7 linked regions of the Rattus norvegicus genome follow. The protein of the gene in region 7 binds, or shares a complex with, the protein of the main gene of each other region. Links are inferred from orthologs where the notes say so. Each region holds a gene or a part of one and is shown on either strand. Other genes may lie near its edges. The genes, in order: Med13, Med4, Med26, Med13l, Med1, Med12 and Med7.

The links.
Region 1: Med7 (region 7) and Med13 share a complex: the UniProt entries of both Homo sapiens proteins name them as parts of the mediator complex. The link is inferred for Rattus norvegicus from reciprocal best matches to the Homo sapiens genes MED7 and MED13.
Region 2: Med7 (region 7) and Med4 share a complex: the UniProt entries of both Homo sapiens proteins name them as parts of the mediator complex. The link is inferred for Rattus norvegicus from reciprocal best matches to the Homo sapiens genes MED7 and MED4.
Region 3: Med7 (region 7) and Med26 share a complex: the UniProt entries of both Homo sapiens proteins name them as parts of the mediator complex. The link is inferred for Rattus norvegicus from reciprocal best matches to the Homo sapiens genes MED7 and MED26.
Region 4: Med7 (region 7) and Med13l share a complex: the UniProt entries of both Homo sapiens proteins name them as parts of the mediator complex. The link is inferred for Rattus norvegicus from reciprocal best matches to the Homo sapiens genes MED7 and MED13L.
Region 5: Med7 (region 7) and Med1 share a complex: the UniProt entries of both Homo sapiens proteins name them as parts of the mediator complex. The link is inferred for Rattus norvegicus from reciprocal best matches to the Homo sapiens genes MED7 and MED1.
Region 6: Med7 (region 7) and Med12 share a complex: the UniProt entries of both Homo sapiens proteins name them as parts of the mediator complex. The link is inferred for Rattus norvegicus from reciprocal best matches to the Homo sapiens genes MED7 and MED12.

The regions. Positions count from the first base shown.
Region 1 is NC_086028.1:71,618,402-71,621,901, forward strand, and holds part of Med13 (mediator of RNA polymerase II transcription subunit 13), read right to left. Parts: intron 2,429-3,500; coding exon 2,307-2,428; intron 837-2,306; coding exon 746-836; intron 622-745; coding exon 407-621; intron 134-406; coding exon 1-133. UniProt on the Homo sapiens protein: Component of the Mediator complex, a coactivator involved in the regulated transcription of nearly all RNA polymerase II-dependent genes.
Region 2 is NC_086033.1:55,112,579-55,116,078, reverse strand, and holds part of Med4 (mediator of RNA polymerase II transcription subunit 4), read right to left. Parts: intron 2,683-3,500; coding exon 2,596-2,682; intron 1,086-2,595; coding exon 954-1,085; intron 396-953; coding exon 223-395; 3' UTR 1-222. UniProt on the Homo sapiens protein: Component of the Mediator complex, a coactivator involved in the regulated transcription of nearly all RNA polymerase II-dependent genes.
Region 3 is NC_086034.1:17,332,547-17,336,569, reverse strand, and holds the start of Med26 (mediator of RNA polymerase II transcription subunit 26), read right to left. Parts: upstream 2,801-4,023; 5' UTR 2,533-2,800; coding exon 2,461-2,532; intron 2,437-2,460; exon of another isoform or gene 1-2,436. UniProt on the Homo sapiens protein: Component of the Mediator complex, a coactivator involved in the regulated transcription of nearly all RNA polymerase II-dependent genes.
Region 4 is NC_086030.1:43,663,020-43,667,094, reverse strand, and holds the start of Med13l (mediator of RNA polymerase II transcription subunit 13-like), read left to right. Parts: upstream 1-1,275; 5' UTR 1,276-1,730; coding exon 1,731-1,802; intron 1,803-1,832; exon of another isoform or gene 1,833-2,722; intron 2,723-4,075. UniProt on the Homo sapiens protein: Component of the Mediator complex, a coactivator involved in the regulated transcription of nearly all RNA polymerase II-dependent genes.
Region 5 is NC_086028.1:83,679,046-83,682,545, forward strand, and holds part of Med1 (mediator of RNA polymerase II transcription subunit 1), read right to left. Parts: intron 2,530-3,500; coding exon 2,423-2,529; intron 1-2,422. UniProt on the Homo sapiens protein: Component of the Mediator complex, a coactivator involved in the regulated transcription of nearly all RNA polymerase II-dependent genes.
Region 6 is NC_086039.1:70,461,810-70,465,043, forward strand, and holds part of Med12 (mediator of RNA polymerase II transcription subunit 12), read left to right. Parts: intron 1-1,040; coding exon 1,041-1,418; intron 1,419-1,638; coding exon 1,639-1,789; intron 1,790-1,931; coding exon 1,932-2,137; intron 2,138-2,298; coding exon 2,299-2,376; intron 2,377-2,463; coding exon 2,464-2,681; intron 2,682-3,234. UniProt on the Homo sapiens protein: Component of the Mediator complex, a coactivator involved in the regulated transcription of nearly all RNA polymerase II-dependent genes.
Region 7 is NC_086028.1:31,353,633-31,357,836, reverse strand, and holds the start of Med7 (mediator of RNA polymerase II transcription subunit 7), read right to left. Parts: upstream 2,801-4,204; 5' UTR 2,755-2,800; exon of another isoform or gene 2,207-2,754; intron 157-2,206; 5' UTR 1-156. UniProt on the Homo sapiens protein: Component of the Mediator complex, a coactivator involved in the regulated transcription of nearly all RNA polymerase II-dependent genes.

The sequences.
Region 1 (3,500 bases), about 40 Mb from region 7:
TCTGCCGGTAAACACACTCTTCCGGCAATTTGATAGGAGGCAGACAATGGCTTGGTAGAGTTTTTAAAGGTGCAAACATGGAACAACCTACTAGAACTTGACAATTTTCAGGCTTATAGACGTAAGAAAAATCCTACAATATAAAGAACGTGGACTTTCAGTGCCTTATATTCCAGGGATGAAAACAAACAGAATCAAAGCGACTGTCTTCTTTACTCTGTTCATTAAATGCACAAAGTATAAATATTTTGTTTCTATTCTTTAATGCATTTTACATAGTGTTCTCACAATTCCCTCCTTATATTAGCCACAAAACTAAAATCAACTGTGAAAAGATTCTTGAATGCAGCAATTAAGCCTATAAGAAAACACAGGGAGAAAATGACTTTTCTAGAAAAATACTTACTTTAATTTCAGAAGGTTTAGGGCTACAGAACCCTTCCTCAACCTCAATTCTGAACTGTGTTCCTACACTAGAGCTACTTCCTTCCAGCACAGTTCCTCCAGGTGTGGGGTCCATACTACCGTATTCCTTGTTATTCATGTTCATTGGAGAGAAGCCCATAATGTGCTGCTCCAGTGAAGGAGGCGTGGGGTACATTTTGTGAAGGTCTGCAGTGCCTGTGTTTAATACAACACACATGTTAACATAAACTGAAAGAAGGGAGTCTGTGTTTAAAGCAAAAGAAATTTTGGTGGGAGTAAACTTTTAAACCAAGGCAGAGTTCAGATCTGGGATGCGTACTTATGCAAGACAACGGATCCAGGCTTCCTGTCTTTGATTCTTTGGAGCTGGCTTTATCATCTGATCCACTTGCTGATTTTTTAGATCCAGGCTATGGGGAAGGGAAAAGGCATATTAATCTGAAAGCCAAAGTGATCACACAGTATTAATCGATCATTTTCTGAAACTATGACAGAGCCAAATATCATAATAGATAGTACATGTATTTGATAAGACTCTCAATTAACAGAGAAAAAGGCAACAAGAAAATACATCAAAAAAAGCAAGAATAACCAGTAACTTAAAACCAAATAAAAGATAAGAAATGTAAAATTAAGACTAGAATTCTTTTTTTAGCAAAAGATATTCAAAGGCTCTGTCCCTTAATTTAAAAGATATTAAAATTTCCTATATAATTAATAACTCTTCCTAATTTGGCTTTATATTTTCAGCTTGGTTTAATAAAATTATTCTTATAAAAATATTTTTACAGATCTAATACTGAGCATAAGCTCAGGAAGACTTCCTAACAAACCAAGTATTAGCTCTCCCACAACCAACTTTTTTTGTAGGTTGATTGTTTGTTTGAACTCCCAAGCCTCCAGCTTCCATGTCCCAAGAATGGGGATTAAAAGCATGTGCAAAATACCAATGTTTGTAGAAGGAACATTTGTTCCACATCTTACGCTGAAAGCTTTGTAAGTAAAGCACATATATGACTAATGTTTTACCTCCAAAAAGCCACAGCTGCTTTCTGTGTGTTAACAAAGACAAGAACTGTCTACCACATATTCAGAGTTCTTTCCCCAGTGAAGAGTGCCCTAGTACACACTACACTGGAGGGTAAAGAGCAAGTGTTCACATAGAGCTATAACTGACCAATATCTGTAATAGACTTATACGTTCAAACGTGTGATAGATAACCTCACAGGATATATTCTATAAGACAACAAACACCAAGTATGCCAGTCCTAAGCTACTTTTAAGTAGACGGAAAAGGAATCTGTTTTACGATACTGCAGCACCCAATTCATTACCTGCTAGACAACTGACATTCTAGAACATCCATTTAAAGTTTTTACCTTTATCTTCAACTTTCTTTGAAAACACTGCAGTAGTGCTCTGTTTCCTCCTGGACTGTTTTCAAGTCTATGTCTTGTAGTGACAGAAGTAATGGCAAACAATTTCAGAAGAACTAGCATTTTTTACTCAATTGGAAACGTGTAAAGTTCTAATGTTAATTACGTAAACATTCTAATTCAATTCCAGACTCACTTCTCAAACTACAGGGTCAAAGAACAGAAAAATCATTCTAAAGACTGAAAGAAAAAATATTACATGGTAGAGCTCAATGAAACTTGACCATGTATCTTTCAAATATATCCACATCAAGGTTCTTAAGAAACCATATTAAGATGATTCTAACATGAAAGCAAAATCAACCAATTGCGTTTTATTATAAAATATCTCCTACTGTTCAGAGCTAAAACATAGTACTAAAGTCATAAATCACTTCCAAAACTTAAACTGTTATGAAATCAATAAAATTTAATTTAATCCTAATCATTAATAGGATACTCACTGTTAATTCATCTTCATCAGAATTGAAGAGGTTATCAAGGTCAGTATAAGACACAGCCAGATCTGAGTCATAAATCAAACTGGTTGATGGAGGACGGGCATGATTAGCAGGGCGTGGAGCATCTACATGTGACAATCAGAAACAATATACTGAAAACTCAACTATTAGCCAAGTAGTATCTACTTATCTAAACAAGACAGAAAGGCTAATGTTCATAAAGACAATTCTGCAACACAAATTATTCTTATTCTCTTATTTAAAACCTGAAATTTTTTTCTCAGAAATAAAGTTATAAACAAACAATAGCTCTTCCCCAGGAAGCTGCAAAAGTTATATAATCTATTCCATAGTTAAGCTCTATATGTAAGTAATAAAAACATAAATGCCATTAGAATGGTAGATTTAAACACATACTTTTTCTTTTTGTGCGCGTGATGTGATGGAATATGTGCCGTTTCACAGGTACCTGTGCACACATTATATGCATGATGTGCAAGTCAGAGGTTGACATGGGGTATCTGCCTTAGTGGCTTCCTAACTTAAACATTTAAGTATGGTCTCTCCTTTGAACCTAGAGCTCACTGATTCAATGAGTGTACTATCCAGGTTTCTCTGTGAATTCCCTATCTCGTCTTCTTTCATACTGGAATTACAGGCAGGCCCCATCACACTTGCCTGACACTATGTGGCTACTCAGGACCCCAACTCTGACTGCTATGCCTGTCCAGCAAAAACAAGCCATCTATCCAGGTCTTATTTTTTTCATTTGGAAACAGAAGGGCTTGTTTAAATAAGGAAGGTTGCATGAGAGCATCTGAATAAAGATACAATCACAGAATATCAAGCTAATTGTGTATAATGAATAAATGTTAAGTATCTGCTAAAAAAAACCACAATATTTACAGATAATAGTGGAGTATGATTACTTGTCTAAAGGCTTGATATCATGCTTTGTTCCATTATTTTTCCTGTGTATGATTCTTAGAGGTTGGGAAGAACAGAGCAGAGGACATGAAATAGGCATCAAAATACAACTGGACAGAAGGAACAGGTTCCATTGCTTAGCACAAAGGGGGAATATACTTCAGAATTAACTATTCTGACCTATAATTAACTGTTCTGACCTATAATCATACATTAAAAAAGAAGGAAAAAAAAAAAAAAACCTAGGTAAGAAGAGCTTTAAGGCTCCTA
Region 2 (3,500 bases), on a different chromosome or scaffold from region 7:
TTGTGCAGTTCTCCTTCAGTCTCATCCCATAGCTGCTATGTACAAACCAAGCACAACAGTAATTGTGACAAACCCTCAAACACGTGTGTAACAGATGAGAACCAGCAGTTCTGGCTACAGGAAGAAAGACCACTGACTTTCCTGGGCTCCTTAGAGGTCTGTGCTTTCCATTTCCCACTTGACAGAACTCTGTGGCAGTGGAGTCTGCATGCCACCCCTTTCTCAGTCAGAGTCACTGCTGCTGCTTGAGGAATCTGTTGACATAACCTCAACGTCATCTTCATTTTCTTTGTTGTGCCCGGGAGGCTCCAACAGAAAGTCAGTGCTATGATTTGGCGGCAGCATGTTCACAGACATGTCATTTGACTGCCATGGGTACTGTGGAGCAAGGACATCTGAGGAGAAGAAGCATAAGGGATTGGTTCTACTTGTGATCCATCTACTCGATCCCCGCCCTCTATGCAAGAATCTTAATCTTATCTACCTACCCACTTACCTTACAGTACCAAGATCTAACAAGAAGGATTCGCAATACTAAACACAAATGAGCAGATTCCCAAACCCACATGTTAACACAGAAGTGATAGCTTCAGAAAGCACAGTCCCCCACTTATGTCCTCTCCTTAGAAAGATTCTCTCACATTAAACATGGCACCTACAAAATGAGCTTATTCTATTTGTGAGCATGCCTCAGAACTGCAAAAATGCTCTTCAGAGTGGTCACGATAAGGGAAGGCCAGGCCTGGGGAGGGTGATAGGAGATAGATGCACGTGAGGGACAGAGTGGCTTAGGTCAGTGACCTATGCACCACTGCTGGGTCTTTGGATGAAGCACAGAACAATAAACTGGTAGGGAATCTATGTAACAATATTGGTGCCCAATGCTAGACACTGCCTCACGGCCACCTCTGAATAACCCTGTCGCTTGAAAACGCCTATCCAGTTAGCATTACCTGGCAGTCTACCTGCTGCAAGGGCATCTCCCGGGAGGTGACCATTCACACCACTGGTAGAAGGATTGTTCATCTGACCCAGCAATCCACTTCTCATCTCTAAATCAGTTGGGTATGGCCGTCGAGGGTCTCCTAAAACAATAAAGACAGCTTTTAACTCAGGTTTAAAATCATGTATATATTCTTGAAGAATTAGCTGTCCTTGTTCACACTAAAGGACCGGAGCGCTTGTAAGACAGGTCTCAGCAGGTAGTCATGCTAGCCTCAAGGCTGCAGGCCTGCCCCGGCCTCTTCACAGCTGCCTACGCTATGTGCTACCACACCTTGCCTGAGGTTACCATTACTATTCTCAAGCTGGGTACGGCGGCACACAACTTTAGTCCCAGGTCTCAGGAGGCAGAGCGAGGCAGGACTCTGACTTGACCTGGTCTACAAAGTGAGTTCCAGGACGGGGAGGGCTACACAGAGAAACTGTCTCTCAATGAATAAAAGAAAGGGGGCTGGAGGAGAAAGAGACTATATTATATTAATTTTTTAAAATCATTTATTTTTCTTTTATGTGCATTGGTGTTTTGCCTCATGCATGTCTGTGTGAGGGTGTCAGAAGTCCGGGGGAACTGGAGTTACAGACAAGTGAACTGCCATGTGTGAACTTGGGATTGAACCAGGTTCTCTGCAAGAGCAGCTAGTGCTCTTTATGACTGAGCCATCTCTCTAGCTCCCAATATTAATTTTCAAAATGCACACATTTTTGTTTCTTCTCTGAATCCTCCCAGGAATATACATTCTATGTTTTGTAAAAAACATGGGGGTGGTAAAAAAAGTAGGGGTGGTGGGCACATCGCCTATAATCACACCCGTAGCCCAGCATTTGGAAGTAGAAATAGGACTGCACAGAGGCAACTCAAGGTGGAGGTGGGACAGCTCAAGGTCACCTTCAAATACATAAGATAGAACCAGACTAGGAGACATAAACCTGTCACAAAGAAACATACACAGACTAGTTTCTACACCTCTCCAGTTTTATCACAAGAACCTACTGTCATTCCCATCAAAGAGGGACACTGAATAGCAGTTTGGGATGGCACCCACACCCAAATTTGGTAATATTTCTCACCAGGAATTACCCATCCTCAGACTGCAGCCACCGTCATTGTGTTCAGCAACAACAAACACCGGTCAGGAGTGAGCAGAGCCCAGTTGGCTCTCTCCATCCTCCACGGAGGCCGCTGCTCCAGCTCTGGTTTCCCATCTCCTACTTGATCTGCAGTGCTGGGACTGCACTGTATTATCTTTGCTGTCCCTAATGCTCCCGCTCTTCCCGGCTGGTGAACTGCGCTGGGTGTTTGTTCTGTGACTGCCTCTCAGGCTGAGGCTTTGCAGGAATATAATGGCACTGAAGGACTGGCTCTGGCCAGCCTGGGTGTTACAAGTATATGAACCTATTGCTTTGAAAGTGTCCCAGATTGACCTATTAGCACTAAAAGTAAAATGGAAAAAACACTTCCCATCACTGCTTGGTAAAAACAATGTAACAGGAATTAGTTACAGTATCCTTCTGTGTTCTACACAGGCACTTAGAATGCTACAGATGCACCTCAGGACGCTTAACCTGCATTCATCTGAAAAGAAGCACTGTTACCTGGAACCCAAGTCAGTGGAGCACATACAGCATTGCTGGCACTGATCCTGTGTGCGTACTTAATGATTTCTTCAGAGGAGATAGCGCCTGAGTTGAGAAAACAGAACAGGACAGACCATTAAACACAAGCTTAGAAGAGCACACGTCACAGTCACACACCACACTTAACTATCAGGCTCATCTCAGCCATCTATCCTCCCAAACACCTTCATGTACACCAAAACTGTTACACATATATGTCTAACTAAAGAACCAAGGCACCCACTCGGCGAGGTCAGCTACCATAAATCTAAGGCCAGCATGATAATGCTCAGTAATCTCCATTACTGGCCGACGGCAAATGCAGAGCTCTTCTGAATGTCACAGTGAGGAACAGTAAACCAAGGGGAGAGCTTTTCGTTCCAGCAACATCCAAGCGGCTAACCAAACAGTCCACATCCTCTGTGACCACAAAGGAAGAGGCTCTACATGGACTGTGCACCAAACAGAAACAGCAGTTACCTCTGAGGAATGGGAAGATTTGTACTCTATGAACTCTAGACCTGTTTCAAAAAGCACTATGGATTCCTACCCAGTCCTGATTGATGGACTCAGCCACCTCTCCTACAGGCTTGCCTCTGCTACAGAAGCCCACCCGTCTCTCTGAGAATATTAGCCGTTTTCTTGGGTATAACAATGAGAAACAGATTCCATACCGGCAAGCAGAACAAGTCAGATAGAGAAATGGTTAACTGTAACCCAAATCCACAGAGCATTAAAGCGACAGCAGAGACTTCACTCTCGGTCTCCTGACTAGAAAGTGTAAGGCCTAAAGGCCGAGCGGCAGGCACGTGTACAGCTGATGCTGACTCCAGTGTTCCCTTCTCAGGTAGTTGTGTGGATTCCGTCATTATCTCTGCCTACAA
Region 3 (4,023 bases), on a different chromosome or scaffold from region 7:
TGTCCCCGTTTTGTATTTTTTCCATGAACATCCTAAATATGTGTCAATTACCAAGTGGTGGAGCTCATAACTGGGCAGATCAGAGCAAGAGCAGAGATCCCTGCACCAACATGCGGCTCTTACCTGGGCCCTGAACAATCACAGAGACAATGCAAATGGCCGGGCACCCCTCAGCAAGAAATGGAGGACAGTGCTCCAGGCTGATTCTACAAAGAGATTCTGCAAAGCTAGCCCCTAGAACATATACCTAGTTGTTTTTGTGGATAGTCACTGACACATTGCATCTAGGGAAACACTCCCCTCCTCACTCAGAGATAAGTTCTCAACTCCAGCCACAACAAGGTCTCCTATCACTACAGCCCTTTGAGATACACACTCCAAGCAACTTACTCACAGGCCAATGAGCACTTAGGACCAAGGGAAGATTCAAGAAACTAAAGTTGGAGGCCAAGCATGGTGGCACATACCTTTAATCCCAGCATTTGGGATTAAAGCAGGTAAAAGCAGACAGGTTCTGTGAGGACACCCTGGTTTACATACATAGTGACTTCCAGAGACAGTCTCAGAAAAAAGACACAAACTAAAATTTGGGCCCTCTATCTTCCTTCTTCTATCCCCAAAGGGTCTTTTAGTCAGACCCTTACCTAGCACTTGGACCCCACCTGATCTACAACATCATGACTACCTGTCAAAGCACTTGCTGATCCCAACACTCTCACATGCAAGCAGTCAGGATCTCTGAGAAGATCTCAGCAAGGAGTTACACAGGTGTAAGATTTACAATGTGGAAGAGAGGAGCAGTGATAGTGCAAGCATTTAATCCCAGCACTCAGAAGGAAAAGGCAGGAGAATCTCTGAGGCCAGCAGCATGGTCAAAGAGCAAGTTCTAGGATAGCCAGACCTACACAGAAGAGGAACCCTTCTCGAAAAACAACATCAAAAAGATTACACTATACACTATAGCTTCAGCAAAGATGCAAAAGCCATCAAGGCTATGTTTTCCTATCACTTATTTTTACCTTTTAATATCCTAATATATCAATCATGTGATTAGTCAGCTATTACCAATCACTGGCAAAAAACAAAACAAAACAAAAAACCCTTAAACCCGCCCCCCAAAAAAGAAAGGTTTTCTAGAAGATTTTTATCTAGCCTGTCTCTATTCCACCACAAAAAAAAAAAAAAAGTCTACAATATTTACTAAATTACTATCGACGTGATCCTAAAGACTAGGAAGAGAATAATTTTGAATCTGGCAAGTAGATTCTCATAGAAACTAGAACATCTCTATTTCTACCAAGACCACACAAACAATGTGAATTATTCTGAACACACAATACAGCACATTGCTACAAGTAACTAGCCAAGCATAGGCAAGGGAACCCAAAAAGGTTCAAACCTCTGTTACCTGGTCCAAGATGATTTTTTTTCTTCCATCCTGGGCATATTAAAAAGTGATCTCAAAAGCCACTTCCTGGTTTCCCAGCAAACACTTCATATCTGAATGCCTGTGCATCTTCCCATGGCCCTACTCCTGACAGCAACAAGGACACCCGCCCCCTGCACTGCCAACAAACCTTTGGAAAAAATACAAGAACAAGTAAAATTAGTCTACACTCACACAGGAAGAAAAAAGGCGTCCTACTGCTCACAGGACTCTTGACAGAGGAAAGTGTGATCCCTTACAATTAAATCTTGACAGCCTAGAGTCCAAAGCACCTCAGGTGGAGCAAGAGAGATGGAAAGAGGACCGGAAGATAGGGATAAGAGAACAATCTACTGTGATCGGCAGTATTTCAGTACTAAAATCCCAGGCTTTAGCTACTGGTCAGACGCGCAATGGAGCATTTAGGCCAAGAGAGGTGACAGGAAGGGTCCCACTCTCTGCAGAGTCGTCTTTTCTAGGAAGCGACCCACTATCAGAAGAGAGGATACTCTCCAGGCATCACAGGAAGACAGACTGATGGCAGAACAGGCCTAGGGTTCCCTACGAATCCAAGAAGGGGATTCGCTAGAAGACCGAGGGGGAGTAAAGGCCAAGACTCCAGAGACGCGGGCTACCCGAGTCATCGCGGAGACACCAGTTGCTTTCTACCTTGTCCCCCGGCAGGGAGACCTTTCCGGGGGGTTCTCAGTTCCCGGGGTTGGGGTGAGGCAAGAAGGGCACGGTGGGGAGCACCAAGGGCAGCCGGGCTGGGACAACCGAGGAGAACCAGCTCTCATCAAAGCTCCGAACGATCCCTCAGTCCAGGCCGCGTGAAGCCTCGGCCTCAGGTACCCTCAGCTGCCGGGGTACCCGCCTTGCCTTCGGCCTCCGGACCCAGGAGAACGAGACACCGAGATGGCAGCGGCCGTGGCGGGCAGATCACCGCCCGGAGAGAACCCCTGGCAGGGGCGCGTCGGAGGGGGAGGGTCCCGACACATGCGGCCTCGGTCCCCGATCGCGCGGCAGTCACTTACGTTGCTCTGGGAGTCGATGGCCTGTAGCAGCCGGTCCCTCATCTGCTGCGGAGACGCCGGAGCCGCTGTCATTGCCTGGGCGAAGCGGGGGGGAGCGGCCGGGCCGGCGGGCGGGCAGGCTGAGGAGGGGGGACGCAGGTCAGTCACTCGCCGGCCTCCGGGAACGGAGCCGCATGTTCCCCGCGGCGCCAGAGGAGGTCGAGGCGCTCGGGGAGATGGCGGAGGACGGAGGAAAGCGGAGGGGACCGGAGCTCAGGCCCCGGACCGCCGCCGCCACCGCCGAGCAAGGAGGAGGAGGAGCCGACGGAGAAGCCTCCGCCACTACCGCCGCCGCCGCCGCCTCGAGAACCAAACTCCAGTGAGCTGCCCCCGCGCTGAGCACTCTGGGTAACCCGCGCCGCACGCAGCGTCGGCGCCACGCTGAGGAGGTTGGGAGATGGGGGCGGGTGGAGACGCCGGGTTTGGGAGGGGCCGGCTTGTGAGCCCCGCCCATTGATTCTGCGCACGCGCACGCATGCGCACTTATCAGGTCCTGCCGCCGGGTTCTAAGGCCGGATCCAGAGAGCCGTTGGGAGACGGTTGGGCGTGGCAACGGACGCTATCCGAAGGTCACGCCCACTCCGGACTAGGGGGCGGGGCTTCCTAACGGAAGCTCACATGCCAAGTCCTGGAACACCGGCTCTTCCTGCTAACTGCTTTGGGGTTGCGGAATGGTAAGACCCTCCACCGGATGAGGACCTCTAGCTTTGAGGAATCAGAGGATTGGAGCGGCCATAGGGACACTAAGAAGGGCAGCGGTTGTCTGCGTTGAGACCCGTGCGGCGAGTAGCTCGGAGAATCTAGGCGCAGCCGTCGCCGCTGCAGAGGCCCCAGGCGCGGATCTGCAGGGCAGTGAGTGTCCCCATGTGACCCGCGCGCTGCTGGGACCTAAGGGCACGTATGGGAGCTGCCGCCTCCGCCGAGGGCTCGAGTCTGCAAGGCATGCGCGACGCTGACACCTTGGCTGTGCATCCACGAGGGGCTGGAACTCAAGAAGAAGCACCGCTCTTTTTTTTTTTTTTTTAATTCTTTTTTTCGGAGCTGGGGACCGAACCCAGGGCCTTGCGTTGAAGCACCGCTCTTGTAGCCCTCCTGAGAGGCGAACTGGAGGTGGCCAGTCTTTGTCTGCACAACAGGATGCGGAACCATCGCTCAGCATCGTCCCCTCCGCATTCGGAGCGGACGGAACGATCCCTGCTTTGCACCCCAGCCACTGGAAAACAGGAACGCCTCACCGAGGAGGAAGGGAAGCGCCAAGGTCACCGTGAGTTTTAGGTCAAACCAAGAAACGAAGGATATCAAGTATAAGGGCTGTGGTCTCCGGCAGGTGGAGTGGGAGGGCGGGCTCCGAGTTTAGCGCACTGTATTACAGTGGCTTCGGGAGAAATAACTTTCGTTTTGTGTCGTAACCTTAAAAATCCAGACATGAAACGGAAGGGAAACAGGTAATGAAAATCACATGTACTCCTGAGAGCTGCGGGACACCTGTTAATTTTAATTTGTTATACTTCTAGGGAGTGCTGG
Region 4 (4,075 bases), on a different chromosome or scaffold from region 7:
AATAGCATCTTAACAGAAATGTGTGGCTTGAGGTCAGCAGGTCAGCAATTAGGATTTGCTTTGGACAGATTAGAAAATGAGGCATAGTTAAACTTTGTCGGGCAGGGTCACAGCTAGGCATAGCAAAGCCAGCTCCTGGCATCCTTTCTAGAGCCTTCTGAATTCAGATAGTTCCGGTGTTCAGCCACTCAGTAACTTGGGGATGCACCCGAGCTAGCTCACTAGTTTCTGAGGACTCTGCAAAGTGACCTATGTGTATGAGCCACCTTCGTTGCAGGGTTTAAGGTTTGTGGTACTTTCAAAGCTCCAATTGGTATGTAAGATTCGTCTCCCCTTTATTTCGCTCCCATCACTCTCAACAGCGTTTTATTTTTCCTTTGTTTCTTTGAGACAGTGTAGACCACGCTGGTCTGGAACTCCCAGAGATTACCTGCCTCTAAGTGCTGAGATTACAGTCATGCCCCACCACACCCCGATAATTCTACCTCTTTTCAAGTCAACTTTTTCCTTTTCTCTATTTTGGGGCCAAAAACTCCTGGAGGGCAGTCTCCTGTATCAGCACTTCTTCCAGCCCCATTACTCTGAAGAAGGAATGCTGGTTATTGACCGCTTGGAGCTGGAGGCAGGGCCTGCTCCCCACATAGCACAGTGTGAATGTGGCACCTAAGAGCGTTGGGATCATCTATGCAAGGAATGCCTGCGTGCACGCACACACAGAGTGGGCGCGAAGGGCTCCAGAAGCACGGGTGCTTTAGGAGCTCAGCGCTCCGTAGGCAGCTAGCCCGGAGCCCTGGCTTCCCGATGCCCGGGTTCGAATCCCGCGGCCCCGGGCAAGCGCCTCGCTGCCTTTGTGTCTCCGAATCCTACTCCTCCGCCCGGTGCGATACGGCCGGCGGGCGCGAGGTTCCGAGGAGACACTCCTCGGCTCGCTCCAACAGGCCCGGCCGGCCCACGCCGCGCTTCAGGCCGGAGCAGCTAATAGGGCTCGGAGGCCGCGCCGGGGAAGCCGCGGCCTCCTCGGCCCGCGACTGACGCGCGCCCGCGCCCAGGGCGGGGCGTCCACGCAGCCCCGGCGTCCCACGGCAGCCCGCACCTCTTTCTCTCCCTCCCTGGCTCCGTCCCCGCTCCGAGAGGGCCGCGCTCGGCTCAGCAGCGCCTCCCGCGAGCCACCGCCGCCGCCGCGGCCCCTCCCCCGCCCCCCGCGCGGCCGGCGCCCGTCACGTGACGCACCGCAGCCAATGGCGGGCCGAGCCGCGGTCGGCGGCCGCCATTGCTGTCAGAGCGAGCGAGCCCGGGGAGGGAGGAGAAGCGCGGCCGACTGGGGAGGAGGGGGGGGTGGGGAGGAAGAGGAAGGAGGGGACGGCGCTCGGCTGCCGGGGTCGCCCGCTGGCTTCGTCCGCACCCCCCCCTTCGCGGGCTCGCGCGGCGGCGGCGGCGGCGGCGGCTCCGGGCGGCTGCGGGGCTCGCGTGCCTCACGCGCCGGCGCGGCCGAGGGCGAGTCGCCCGCCGGCTGGAGATAAACAAGGCGGCCGACGAGGCGGCGAGGCGGAGGCGGAGGCGGCGGCCCTGCGCGACAGAGGCGGGCGGCGTTGCCGCGCCGCGCCCCCCGCTGCCGCCGCCGCCGCCCTCGGGCCTCCCGCGCGGGCCTCGCGCCCCGGTGCCCGCGAGCCGCCGCCCGGCCCGGCCCGCTCCGACATGCCCCGCTCTGGCGGCCGGGCTCGCGGAGGACCATGACCGCCGCGGCGAACTGGGTGGCGAACGGGGCGAGCCTGGAGGATTGTCACTCTAACCTCTTCTCGCTGGTGAGTGGCGGGGCGGGGGCCCGGGTGGGGGGCGCGACCTCCCCGCCGCGCAACTTTCTCCTCCCGGAGCCCTGGCGGCGTCGGCGAGCGCGGCGCCCGGCGTGGACGTGCGTGTGGAAGTCGGGGCGCTGCGGACGCCGGGGCGCGCTCGGAGCGCCCACCTCCGTGGCAATCACACCCCTCCCCTCCCCTTCCCCCTCTTTTTTCTTTCTTTTTTTTTTTTCCTCCTCCTTCCCGAAATGTGGAAGGCTTCTCCGCCTTGTGCAGCCGCCGGCGCCGGTGATCTGCAGGCTCGCCCTCTCTCTCCCGATCGGATCGGCCGCTCGCCCGTGTCTGCTTTCTGAATTTTTCTTTCTTTCTACCTCCCTCTCTCTCTTTTTAAATTCCACAATGACACCTGCGATTTCGCCCGAAAACAGTTGATGGAAGGCGATGGTGTCAGGCAAAGGACTCTGGCAGCTGGAGCTCGCGCGGTTGTAAACACGGACAGCCGCCCGCCTCTCGAGGCTTACTATGCCGGAGAGCGGGAGAGCCGTTGCTCGGAGCCCACGGAAGGTGGAGGAAGCTGGTGCTCCTCGCTCTCCTCCGCTGCCTTTAAAAACTGTTTTCTCTGCCTTAACAAGGAACACACACACACACACACACACACACACAGACACACACACGCGCGCGCGAGCAACAAGCTGGGCGGTTTGATAACATCGCTTTTATCTGCCTTCGCCTCGCCTCTCCCGCTCTCGCCTCTGATAATTGACAACTTTTGCTTTGGAAGTGCATCGCCTGCCTTAATCTCGAACCATTTAGGGTGTCAATTGTTCTTCTGGAAGCCTGGCACCGGGTGGCGGCGGCTCGATTCATCGAAATTAAAAATGTATAGGGCTCCAGCAACTCTTTCCTGGCGGTGGCAGTGACATTTGGTGGTAAATGCCATCTTTGCTTTTTATTGGGTCGTATTACCTAGCTCTGAAAACATTCGCGTTGTTAAACCTGGCGCTTAGACTGATAATGGGAGTGCGTGGTCTTTAAATACGCGCTTTGTGCCTGAGTTACTGTATGTGGAGCTCTGTGCCCCGGAGAGTAAGAATTTGTTTAAATATTGAGCAAAGATTTGTAAACAGATGTAAGGCAATTATGTTTCAAGTGTAGAATATAATTGGAAAATTGGTTGAACGGCCTATTTAATTTAGCCTTAAAAACTGAACTTATTTTAAGTTGTGTGCCCAATTTTGGTGGGGGAGCGTTATGGGTGCTGCCTTTTGGAAAGCATGCGTTTATTGCAAATTATTTTCTGGAACCCCTGCTGTAGATAGAAGCTTTTTTTCCTTAGTCCCTGTTTACACTGGATAAATAATTTAGTGTTCAAATTGTAATTAGTTACATTTAATTATGGGTGGCATAGATGTTTTTTCTCCCCTTGGAGATTAGTGGAGAAATACGAATTGTTGCCAACTTTGGAAGTGTCATTCTGTTTTCATGCCGATAAAGAAATCAAGCATGATTTTGGCCTACAAAGACTGAGTGACACAGTACCCCTGCTTCCACTCTTGTAAGCAGACTGATTGCAGGTCACCCCGAATTTTATCCAGAGGCTGAGTTTCAAGATTCAGTTAGCAGTTGGGGTTCTTCCTTTTACTACTGTGGGAATTTACTCTTGATCTTTTGATGTGAGATAAAACTACTTCTGCCTCTTTTTTCACCCCTCCACCCCCACTTCCCCTGTTTGTCATTTAGTATTAGATTCAGGGACCTTCATAGATCAGCAAATGTATTGACTAGCAGGGTATTCCCCCCCCCCCCCCCCAATTTGTCGACTGGGCGATCACAATGACACTTTTACAGGTAATTAAAATAACCAAGTCAGCCACGTTAGTTGGCCACATTACTGTCATCACGCTGAGCAGCAGTGCTGTGTGCATGTGGCTAATTTATATACAATGTGTTGTGCGGGCAAATGCAAGCCTGCCCGGCTGAACAGCCCAACTCTAGGATCCTTCCTCATTTCTCTCAGCTTCAGCGAGTGAGGGGGTAGAGAAGAGATTCTTTGTTGAAGATTCTGAACTTTGATTTTGACTGCATTCTGGGTATTTCTCCCCTAACATATTTAAACCAAAAAGTTGACTTTGGAATATAAAGTACAATTAACTTTTTGGGTGACTAATTTTGGAATGCAGAAATTGGTTTAGATTTAGATTGGTTTAAAAATGTAGACTGTTTATATGGAGGTGGATAAATGGTGTTTAATTTTTAAGAACTTTATCTTTATTTTATAAGCA
Region 5 (3,500 bases), about 52 Mb from region 7:
TTGCCTAGGAAGCGCAAGGCCCTGGGTTCTGTCCCCAGCTCCGAAAAAAAGAACCCAAAAAAAAAAAAAAAGTAAATGTACTTTAAAAAATGTAATGGGGGGGTTGGGGATTTAGCTCAGCGGTAGAGCACTTGCCTAGCAAGCGCAAGGCCCTGGGTTCGGTCCCCAGCTCCGAAAAAAAGAAAAAAAAAAAATGTAATGGAAGAAAAAGTGACACAAGCTTCAAATGCCAGCACTCAGGAGACCAGGGCAGGAGAATTATACAGTTGGAAACAGTCTGGGATATATGAGACCTTGCCTCAAAACAGCAAACTATGGAACAACAAAAAGAAAAAACTAAAAACACTTTTTTTGTCTGAAATCTAAAAGATGATGCACATGCATTTATGGCTAGAATCCAGAGTTTCAGAATGCAGGACAATGGCCCAGCATGCATAAAGGCCTGACTTCAATCTCCAGCAAGACAGTGATCAGTCAGCAGCCTTGACCTGAACCCTCAGCACTCCGAGGTGGGGGGGGATACGGCAATAAAGGTCATTTCAAGGTCACCCTCCATTGTTTATCTCCATTATTTACCAAAACCATTTGGAAAAGGAGCTGGAGAGATGCTCGGCAGTAGAGAACTGGTTGGTCTCACAGAGGACTCAGAACCGATTCTCAGCACTCACAAAGTGGCTCACAACCAGGTGTAACTCAAGTTCCAAGGATCTGATGACTGAATGGACACCAGGAACACACAGGGTACAAAGGCATGCATGCAGAAAAACACCCACACACATAATCAAAACAAAAACAAACGTCTTAGATAAGCAAACTAGCATCATCTGCTCCCATGAGGAAACAAATTCAGAGATTACAATTACATAAGTTGTTCAAAGTCACACAGCAGCACTGCCAAGGAGTCTAAAGTACAGGGTTTTTGTTTTTGTTTTATTTTTCCTCTGTTGCTAGAGAATGACTGCGTCTTATACATGCTAAGCAAACGCTTTCCCACTGAATTAATTACACCCCTTGGCTCAGACCTTATTAACAAATTTATTCTTACACTACCAATATTCTGATGATTGGCCAGATAAAGGGTAATAAAGATGTTGAAGTAGACTTACCCTGGAATTAAAGTAAACTATAGGGAGGATGAAATATTCTCATTAAAGTGTAATTTATACATAGGAAAGCTAAAACACAAGTGAATCCCTGTCCTTTGACTGTGGCTGAGTGGTGGGAATGAATACTTAGCATACAGCCAGCATGCTTCCCCAGTGCTCCACCTCTGCTTAAGTCGTTCAAGTAACACTGCACTGGGGCCCACTCAGGGAAGAAGTACCACAGAGAAAGACACCAGCAGTGGATGGGTACCAAACAAGAGGTAAGAAAAGCAAACACAAAACAGCAACCCCAAAAGACACAATGTGACCCTATTTCAAACAGACCAAAGAGAACCTGAAGAGAGCAGGGTACACAGCTGTCATCTCGGCACCTGGGAAACTACAGCAGGAGGACTGCCTCAGATCTACAGCAAATTCAAGGCCAACCTACGCTACACAGAAGTCCCTGACTGAAAAGGACCATATGATATAGGTCACCTGGGAGGCTGCAGCAGAAGAATGGTGCGCAAAGCCTACCTGAACGACAGAACAAATTCAATGCCAGCGTGCCCAACTGCTTCACCAAATCAAGTTGAAGGCCAGAGAAGGATACCAAAGACCGCTTCTCTAATAGAAAAATACTGTTCTTGGGCTGGAGAGATGGCTCAGCGGTTAAGAGCACCCGACTGCTCTTCCAGAGGTCCTGAGTTCAATTCCCAGCAACCACATGGTGGCTCACAACCATCTGTAAGGAGATCTGATGCCCTCTTCTGGTGTGTCTGAAGACAGCTACAGTGTACTTATATATAATAAATGAATAAATAAATCTTAAAAAAAAAAAAAAGAAAAAAGAAAAAAAAAGAAAAATACTGTTCTGTACTGACAGTGAACACCATAGCATAACAAATACTCACAAGCTATTTGTATTGCTAAGCATTTTAAGTAATGTAGATATCAGCTTAAAGTATACAGGAGAATGTTTATAAATAGTGTGCAAAGACAGTACCTTTTTGTTGGTTTGTTTTGAGGTAGAGTTTCTCTGTGTAGCCCACGCTTTCGTGGAACTCACTCTGTAAACAAGGCTAGCCTTCAACTCAGACACCTGCTTGCCTCTGATCTGGGAGAAGTCCTAGAATGAAACCTCTGAGGATATGGGAATTTAAGCTACCTCCTTCCTAAGGCACTTCCTTCCTCAGCTGGCCTCTGAAATCAGCACCACCATGTTGTCGTGGTGAGCAAAAGCAAGGACACAACATTGGAACTAGCAACCCTTACGGGGGAGAGGCCAGTTCCTTAGGTAGTTCTTAGTACCTTACCCACTGAGCCACAATACTCACCATGACTTGACGCACAAGCTTAATGGTCTCACTCCAAGGTCTACTTTGGTTAAATTTTGCATGGAGCCGGTCCAAGAGAGAACTCATCTTACTCAGCTTCTCTGACTCTACAACGTAAAGCAGAAAACATCAGCAGCCACTCTGATACCAAGACCTTCCACCATTTCTCCTGCAAAAGAAACCCTGTATTTCACTTACAACTGTCCAAGTATTTTTTATATAATTTACTCCAAAACATACAGAAAGCTGCCTAGTAAGATGACCACCCATACTTTTTATCCCTGTACTGGAGATACTAAGGCAGGTGGTTTGTAAATTCAAGGCTAGCCTGAGCTACAGAGGAATACTGTCTCAAATGTGTATACAACACAGAGATTTCCTGAGACAGAATCTTACTAAGCTGTCCATTATGTTGGCCTTGGAGTCTTCGGACCCAACAATCCCCCGCCCTAGACTCCAAAGTCACTGTCACTACACGTACACACTGTGTCCAACTTAGAAAATAGCTTTAAATTTTATTTTTATGCCAGGCATGGTGACATGCTCCTTTTAATCCAACACTCGGAGGAGTCAGAAGTAGTCAGACCTTTGTGATGTCAAGACCAGCCTGGCCTGCATAAGAAGAGCCTGTCTTAAAACAAACAGCAACAATAAAAACCCAGGGTGAAATAGCTCGGTGCTTAAGAGTACTTGCTCGGGGCTGGGGATTTAGCTCAGTGGTAGAGAGCTTACCTAGGAAGCGCAAGGCCCTGGGTTCGGTCCCCAGCTCCGAAAAAAAGATCCCAAAAAAAAAAAAAAAAAAAAAAAAAAGAGTACTTGCTCCTTTCCCAGAGGACTCAAGTTAGATTCTCAGCGTCCATACAGAAGTTCACAAACATATCTAACTCCAGTTCCAGGGGATGTGATGCCCTCTTCTGGTTTCCACAGGCACCAGGCACACATGTGGTACATATATATATACATGCTAGCAAACCACCCACATATGTAAAACAAATATTTAAAATGCTACTAGAAACCACACCAGACTGTGTTTGTTATCTGCGTATGTGTAAGCACGGGTGTGAACTGGCCATAGCAC
Region 6 (3,234 bases), on a different chromosome or scaffold from region 7:
TACTGTTCTGCCTGTCTCAGTCCCCTCTGACTTTTCTCCATGCCCTGCCCCCCTCTCTGCCCCACTGTTTTCTCATTTCCCAGCATTCTGTTGGCTCCTTGTCTCTTTTCTCCATGTCTCTCTACTTGCCCAGCTCAGCTTCCTATTATTTTTTATGTTGGTTTCAGTATTTGGATTTAAAGCATTATGTGCTTGGGTATGTGTAGGCCATGTCCATGTGCAGGTGCCCACAGAGACCGGGAGTTGGAGTTCCATGTGGTTGTGAACCACCTGATGTGGGTTCTGGGAAACAGACCTGAGTCCTATGCAAGAGTAGCAAGGGCTCTTAGCCACAGGCCTTCTATCAAGCACTTGGTTGAGTGTTTCCTTGATTAACCATTTATTCTTCATAGCGGAGAGAGAAGGGGGGATACAGAGGTTCAAATGCAAAGCAAAGCTCCTCAGTGTACACATTCTCGTAATTCCTTTCTTATCATGTTTCTCTCCTCTGGCTGCTCTCCGTCTCTCTGTCCCTATCCCTGTCTTTCTCTTCCTGTTTCTCTCTGACTGCCTCTCTTTGCCCTCTTTAATTTTTCCTTCTCTCTCCTCTCCTCTTCTCTCCTTCCCGTTTTCTCTCCTCTCCCTTCTTTCCCTCCCCTCTCTCTGGCTTCTTTCTTTCCCTCATCTTCTGTCAGCTTCTCTCCTCCCCTCCATCTCTGTTTCCTTATCTGCCTCTTTAGTACCCTCTTTCTCTCCTGGTGTCCCCTTTCCCCTTTGCCCCCTTCTCCTTCAGTTCAGCTCTGCCCCAGGCAGAGTGTGTGTCCTTCATGTATCTCTGTGTTAGTGTCTCTCTCTTCTTCTCCTTCAGTTCAACTGTGCCCAGGCAGAGTCTGTCCTTCATGTATCTCTGTGTTAGTGTCTCTCTCCTCTTCTCCTCACATCCCCGATTACTTACCACTCTTTCATACTTTGAAAACTTATCAACAGATAGTTTGCCCTTTCTAGACATCCTCCTATTTTCCAAGTCTCGGTGGCTCATTGTTTCTCCTTTGCTGGAGCAGGGTCTACAAGTTTCCACCAAACAAAAGATCTCTCCTTGGGAGCTTTTTGAGGGCCTGAAGCCATCAACAGCACCACTATCATGGGCCTGGTTTGGCACAGTCCGAGTGGACCGCCGAGTGGCACGAGGGGAGGAGCAGCAACGACTGTTGCTCTACCATACCCACCTGAGGCCTCGACCCAGAGCCTATTACCTGGAGCCACTACCTCTGCCCCCAGAAGATGAGGAGCCACCAGCCCCTGCCCTACTAGAGCCTGAGAAAAAGGCTCCTGAGCCCCCCAAGACTGACAAACCAGGGACTGCTCCTCCCAGCACAGAGGAGCGCAAGAAGAAATCTACCAAGGGCAAGAAACGCAGTCAGCCAGCCACCAAGAGCGAGGCCAGTCCCCATCCCACCCAAGCCCTTTTCCTGACTTCATGTGTAGTTGGAAGCTAAAGTTCCTGCTTTATGGGAGGTGTGCAGTACATAGGGAAGAGGTGCCATTAGAATCATGATCCAGTGAATTGGATCAGTACCGCTCCTCCTTACACCCTCCTCCCTCACCTCCCCACCCAGAACTGCTGTAAGTCACTTACCTTTGTCCTCTGCACCCATACAGGACTATGGCATGGGGCCAGGTCGGAGTGGTCCCTATGGTGTGACAGTGCCTCCAGACCTTCTACACCATGCAAATCCAGGTTCTATATCCCACCTTAGCTACAGGCAGAGCTCCATGGGCCTGTACACCCAAAACCAGCCACTGCCTGCTGGTAAGTACTAGTCACTAGGATTGGTGGAGTTGAACATTCCTCCCTTCCCAGGGGAAATGTCGATGGCTGGAACTGTTAAAAAAAAAAAAATGAGGCTGAAGGGATAAGGATCTCCGAGAGGTCAATTTGTTCTCCTTTCCAGGTGGCCCTCGTGTGGACCCATATCGCCCTGTGCGATTACCAATGCAGAAGCTGCCAACTCGACCAACTTACCCCGGTGTGCTGCCTACAACTATGACTACTGTCATGGGCCTAGAACCCTCTTCTTATAAGACCTCTGTGTACCGGCAGCAGCAACCCACAGTGCCCCAGGGACAGCGCCTTCGCCAACAGCTCCAGGCAAAGATAGTGAGAGGGGCAGTAGGGAGGACTGCCAGGGAGAGGGGTTTTGGTGGGTCAGAGGACTGAGGAGATACTTGGAACCTTCACAGGAGCATGCAGGGTCAGAGGTATAAAAGAGACATGGCAGAAAGCATTTCCTGAACTTGAGTTCTCCTTTTTCCCTTTAGCAGAGTCAGGGAATGTTGGGACAGTCATCTGTCCATCAGATGACTCCTAGTTCTTCCTATGGTTTGCAGAGTTCCCAGGTAAGTGCCTGAGACTAGTAACCTCAGGGAGAGGGAAGCGAGTTGCTGTACTTCCTCATTCCCCAGATCTCTCCTCCTTCCCTCCAGGGCTATACGTCCTATGTCTCTCATGTGGGATTGCAGCAACACACAGGCCCTGCAGGTACCATGGTGCCCCCCAGCTACTCCAGCCAGCCTTATCAGAGCACCCACCCTTCTACCAATCCTACTCTTGTAGATCCTACCCGTCACCTGCAACAGCGGCCCAGTGGCTATGTGCATCAGCAGGCCCCAACCTATGGGCATGGACTGACTTCCACTCAAAGGTACCCAAAGTAGTAGTGAACTGGCAAGGGATACTGAGGTATAAGCAGGTATAAGCAAGCATCTGATTTGGGAAACCCTGTACTTGAAGGTGATAAATGGGCCTGAACTTTGGGAGGCATTAAGAACACTAATCTGGTCATGTAAGTATTGCCACAAATGACCTGAGTTGGAAGAAATCCTTGAGGAACTGACAGAAGAAACAAATATCTAACTTTGATAAGAACCTGGGGTTTATAGATACAGTATATGATACAGACTGCTAAATCCAGAATTAAACAGTTAACACCAGGACTGAGGATAAGGTTTACTTGATAGCATGCTTACTTAGCATGCATGATGTCTCGAGTCTGATCCTTAGCCCTACACAAAGCCTGCTATGTCATGCACAACTGCAGTGGTAGCACGCAAGAGGTACAGGGAGGAGGTCTTCCTTGGCTACATAATGGTTTGAGGCCAGTCTGAGCTACATGAGACCCTTTCTCAAGGGGAGAAAAAGCAGTTGTACTCTAGGATGGACTAACAAATGAATTTCATGGTTAATTTTAGTCAAAT
Region 7 (4,204 bases):
AGCCTGATCAACACAAGTACAATGTTCAGTACAAGTTCGTTGTGGGTTCAGACCATATTATCTTCAAGCTTCCTGATGGGAAGTATAAAAATTGAGAACTTGTTGGCCAGCAAAGACAACAGGTGTGCTAATTTCACCCTAGGGAGACAGGTAATCCTGGCAAAGGAGGAAGAAGTGAAGAGAAAAATAAGGCAAAGCTATGGCTTTATGAAGATCTGATTAGTCCCTTGTTAGACTAATGGGATAGAGCAGGGAAGGTGCAGAAAGTTGCACACAAAGATGGCCTTCCAAAAAGGTCTGCCCTCTGTCTACTTTGTGATAGCATGAGTTATGGTTCCAACATTCAAGTATAAATTCCCATTGTACAATTTCTGCAACTGACAGTGGACAATGGCAGGCTCCTTTTTACTGTAGAATCACCACTTACACATACTTAGTCACGGACTCCCAGGTACCATGTCTTCTTTACAATACCTGCTCTGGTCCTACGGCCTGCTGTGTCCTGGCTCTTAACTCTATTCACCCAAGACTACAGGTTGTTGCTTAACTGAATCAGGCTTTAAAATGCTGAATCGCCATGTTCACTGCAGTGAGGATAACAGAAGTGAGAACCATGAGACATGTCTAGTGTCTAACTACACACCCAAGTCGAGGTGTGCAAACCTTGTCTATGAAGGAAATTCTGAGAACACGGAACAGCCTCACTTGGAAATCCTACGATTATTTTTAATCTCTTCGAGCCCTTCTCACCTGTTAAAGAGCACTCATATGATCGTTCAGTAAGATCTGTTCTGCTTGTTTAAAAAATGATGTTAGCATTAAGGACTCACACATTGTAGATAACCTGACAAATGTAAATAAAGCATTCAAAGTGGGAAAACAAGCAGCAGAGTCCACTGCGGGTTTGCAGAGGACTTTATTTACTGTTATTTTTAAACAATTTTTTAAACTGCCCTAAGCATGATGGTTGTTGAGTCCTAATGATTGAGAAGCATGATAGCTGTGAGTTCAAGGCCCATTTGAACTACATGGGCCAGCCTGTGCTAAAGATCCATCTTTAAAAACCAAGAAAATATTTTAAAAATATATAAAATTGGGAGTAAGATATGGTAGTGGTCTGCAAGATATTAGACGAGTGAGGAAGCAAGCATGATCAAAACACACATGTTTGTGTGTGTGTATAAAATTCTCAAAGAACAAACATATATTCTGAAAACTAAGAGAAAAGGGTCTGTATTGGGGGGCTTATACATGGTATATGATATACTTCTTTTTCATGCCTGACTCCTTTTGGTAGGCATACGTTGAAACCTACTCTGGGAAAGAACAGTTATATACAAAGTCATATGCCTTATTTATTTCTCTTTTCCATAATCAAACTACATATGGTGTCTATCAATCTCACTTTGCTTTCTACTGTACAGTGATTTCCAAAACCAAACACTTAAGATTCTCTATACGTCTTGACAAAAATCACTTGTTAAATTTCATACTTCTAGAATTTTCCAAGGTTTCTGAGGGAAGCCTCATCTTACAAACATCTTATAGTACAGTTTTATTGACAATTGGCATTTTAACATCTTTTCTACATAAATTTAACACCTAAGTCCCAACACTGCAACATATATGGTCAAAATACCCTCTGCTTTTCCAATTTGAGTTTAAGTACATTATACAATGAGAAGATTCTTGAGCGCTTTTTCACACTGAGATTCAAGGTAACAGGGGAAAGTAACATACAGGTTCCGTACACCTGGAATACATTAAATCTGAGGGAAGTCACTTCAAATTCTTCAGGTCGTCCAACTCAACTATTTCAGGGTATATATACCTAAGATACTAGTGTCTATTTGCAGTCACATCAAGTCAACACCCAGCCTAAATTTCGTCCCCTGAGGGCTTTTGAAGATGAGATCTGCGCTTCCCTTAGCCACACCCATACTAAATTCCCATTTCCCAAAGGTTTCTAATAAGTGACCGGCATCCTCACTTCTATCTTCCTAACGGCACAACTATTCCCAATTTGATTTTAGAAACAAGAAGCCAGTTTCCAATGTGCAGAAGTGGGTAAAATGTATAACGGGAATTTGTACTCCGTTTTTGTTTTGTTTTGTTTGGCTGTTTCGTTTTGTTGCGCGGAAGTGCAAACCCCGATAACTCAAGCATCCCGTTTTAGAGCCTGCCACCTTACAAAAACCGCCCTCACCGGTTTAAACTGAACTTTTCAGAGCCGCTGGATGTCCTCACTTGCTAACACTAACAAAATTCAGTTTCTAGCATTTGCTTGGGGGGCGGGGGGGGGGAGTGGTCGCAAGCTCAGACACTTGGCTCACTTGGTCCCTGTCCCTCGTAAAGTCTGGTACAGGATAAGATCCGCCCGAGGCTCTCCCTCCCCTCCCCCAGCCTCCGCGCTCCCAGGTGGCTACTATCATTTTACTAATGCCGACAGGGCAGGCTAAGGCCACGACACTTTAAAAGCCCGTGGCGTGGGGACGAGAACTCGGACCTCCCAACCTCCGGTCCGGCTCGTCGTCCGGTCCGCGAGACGCCCGGAGCGAGCCGCACTCCGCGCACCTTCGGCCAGCCGCCTGCCTCAGGCCCCGGGGAGGCTCCGCTGAGGGACGTGGGAGGAAGGCGAGCCCGGGCTTCCCAGGTTGTCCCGCGCCGGACCTCGGCGTGGCGCCGGGAAAGACGCAACCGCGGGGGCGGAGAGACAGACTCTGGCTGCGGTCGCCAAACGCCGCGCCGGCTCACCTCAGCTCTAGCTTTTCCCGTAGCGACTTTTTCCTCAGCGCAGCGGAAGCACAAGTTCCGGTTGCCTTCTCAGGAAGAAGCCTCTGACGCGGGCCTTTAATTGGCTACGAAGCCTGTCCTATAGCAGGTCCTACTCCCGCCCTAAAGATACTGCGCATGCGCACTCCCGCGTCTCCCGCTTCTCCCGGGAAAAGATCTCTTGTCTATCTTCTTGGTCAGGTCAGGAGAGTGTTTCTTCATACTTCTTGTTAGTAAAAGAAAGTACTCTCTAGTAATTCGACTCCTCGCCGCCCACCCCCTTTATATAAGACTCTTAAAATTAAATATTTGCCTTATATAAGTCAGAAAATACAGATAAGCAATATTTAAAAATATCAATGCTAACCTTATCATCAAAAAAAATTTTTTTAAAGCAAGTTGTACTCCATGATATATTCATACATACATGGGGATATTTGGGAACATGATTAAGACTAACATCCTACACCTTCATTTTCCCCCTTCCGTTCACTTTTATTTTCATTTAGGAATTCAAAGATGTATATGACAATTCTTCCACAAACCGACAAGTAAAAAAAAAAATTAATGTAATTTTTAAAATTAGAAGGAGTGGGCAATTTCACTGTGTAGCCCAGGCTACACATGGTTTCAAATGTCTCTTCCGAGCCTCAGGAAAGCCAGAGGTTCAGAAATGAGCCATCAGGACCAGCAAGAAAACTTTCCATTTAGGCCTTCCCCCACCACACATATAAAAGAATTGTTAACAGATGTCCTAACTCATGGGAGTCTTAAGAACGCTTGTTGCAAATTAAAAGTGAGATAAGACTGTTCTGCTAAAACAGCTCTGCTTCAGAGACAAGAATGTCCCAGTTTCTTCCTTTAAATATGTGAAGAATTGCAGGCATAAAAGCGAAAGAACAGTCTACTCATCACCAACTTCCACAGCTATATGCTCCCCATCAGTTCGCCTCTAGTCCAGTATGAGCCTCTCAAAGGTAAGGGCTCTTCGCTTTTTCCCATGCCCATAGCATTACTATCTTACTGAAAGTGTACCAGGGGTTGTTACACTGATCAAATGAGTGTGTGTTCACACATGGATATATATGTCATATAACTTATTAGAGTGGCTTACAAGATGCAGTTCAACTAGTCCAACAATGGCTGCCTCCAACCTGAAAGGCTGAGAATCCCGTAGCTGCTCAGTCTAAGGGGCTGGATGTCTCAGCAGACCCCACCTGGCGTTGGAGGCCTGGAGGATTTTTAGAGAGCTGCTGCTCTTCAGTCTGTGTTGGAATCCCAAAAAAGTTTGGATCTAATACTGGCAAAGGAATGACACAGCAGTGGGACAGATGAAGTTGCCAGTGAGAATGAGAGCAAGCAACGAAAGAGCAGTTTCCTTTCTTCTTGTCCTTTTATCTGGGCAGCTACAAGAAAATGCCATTCGGTCTTT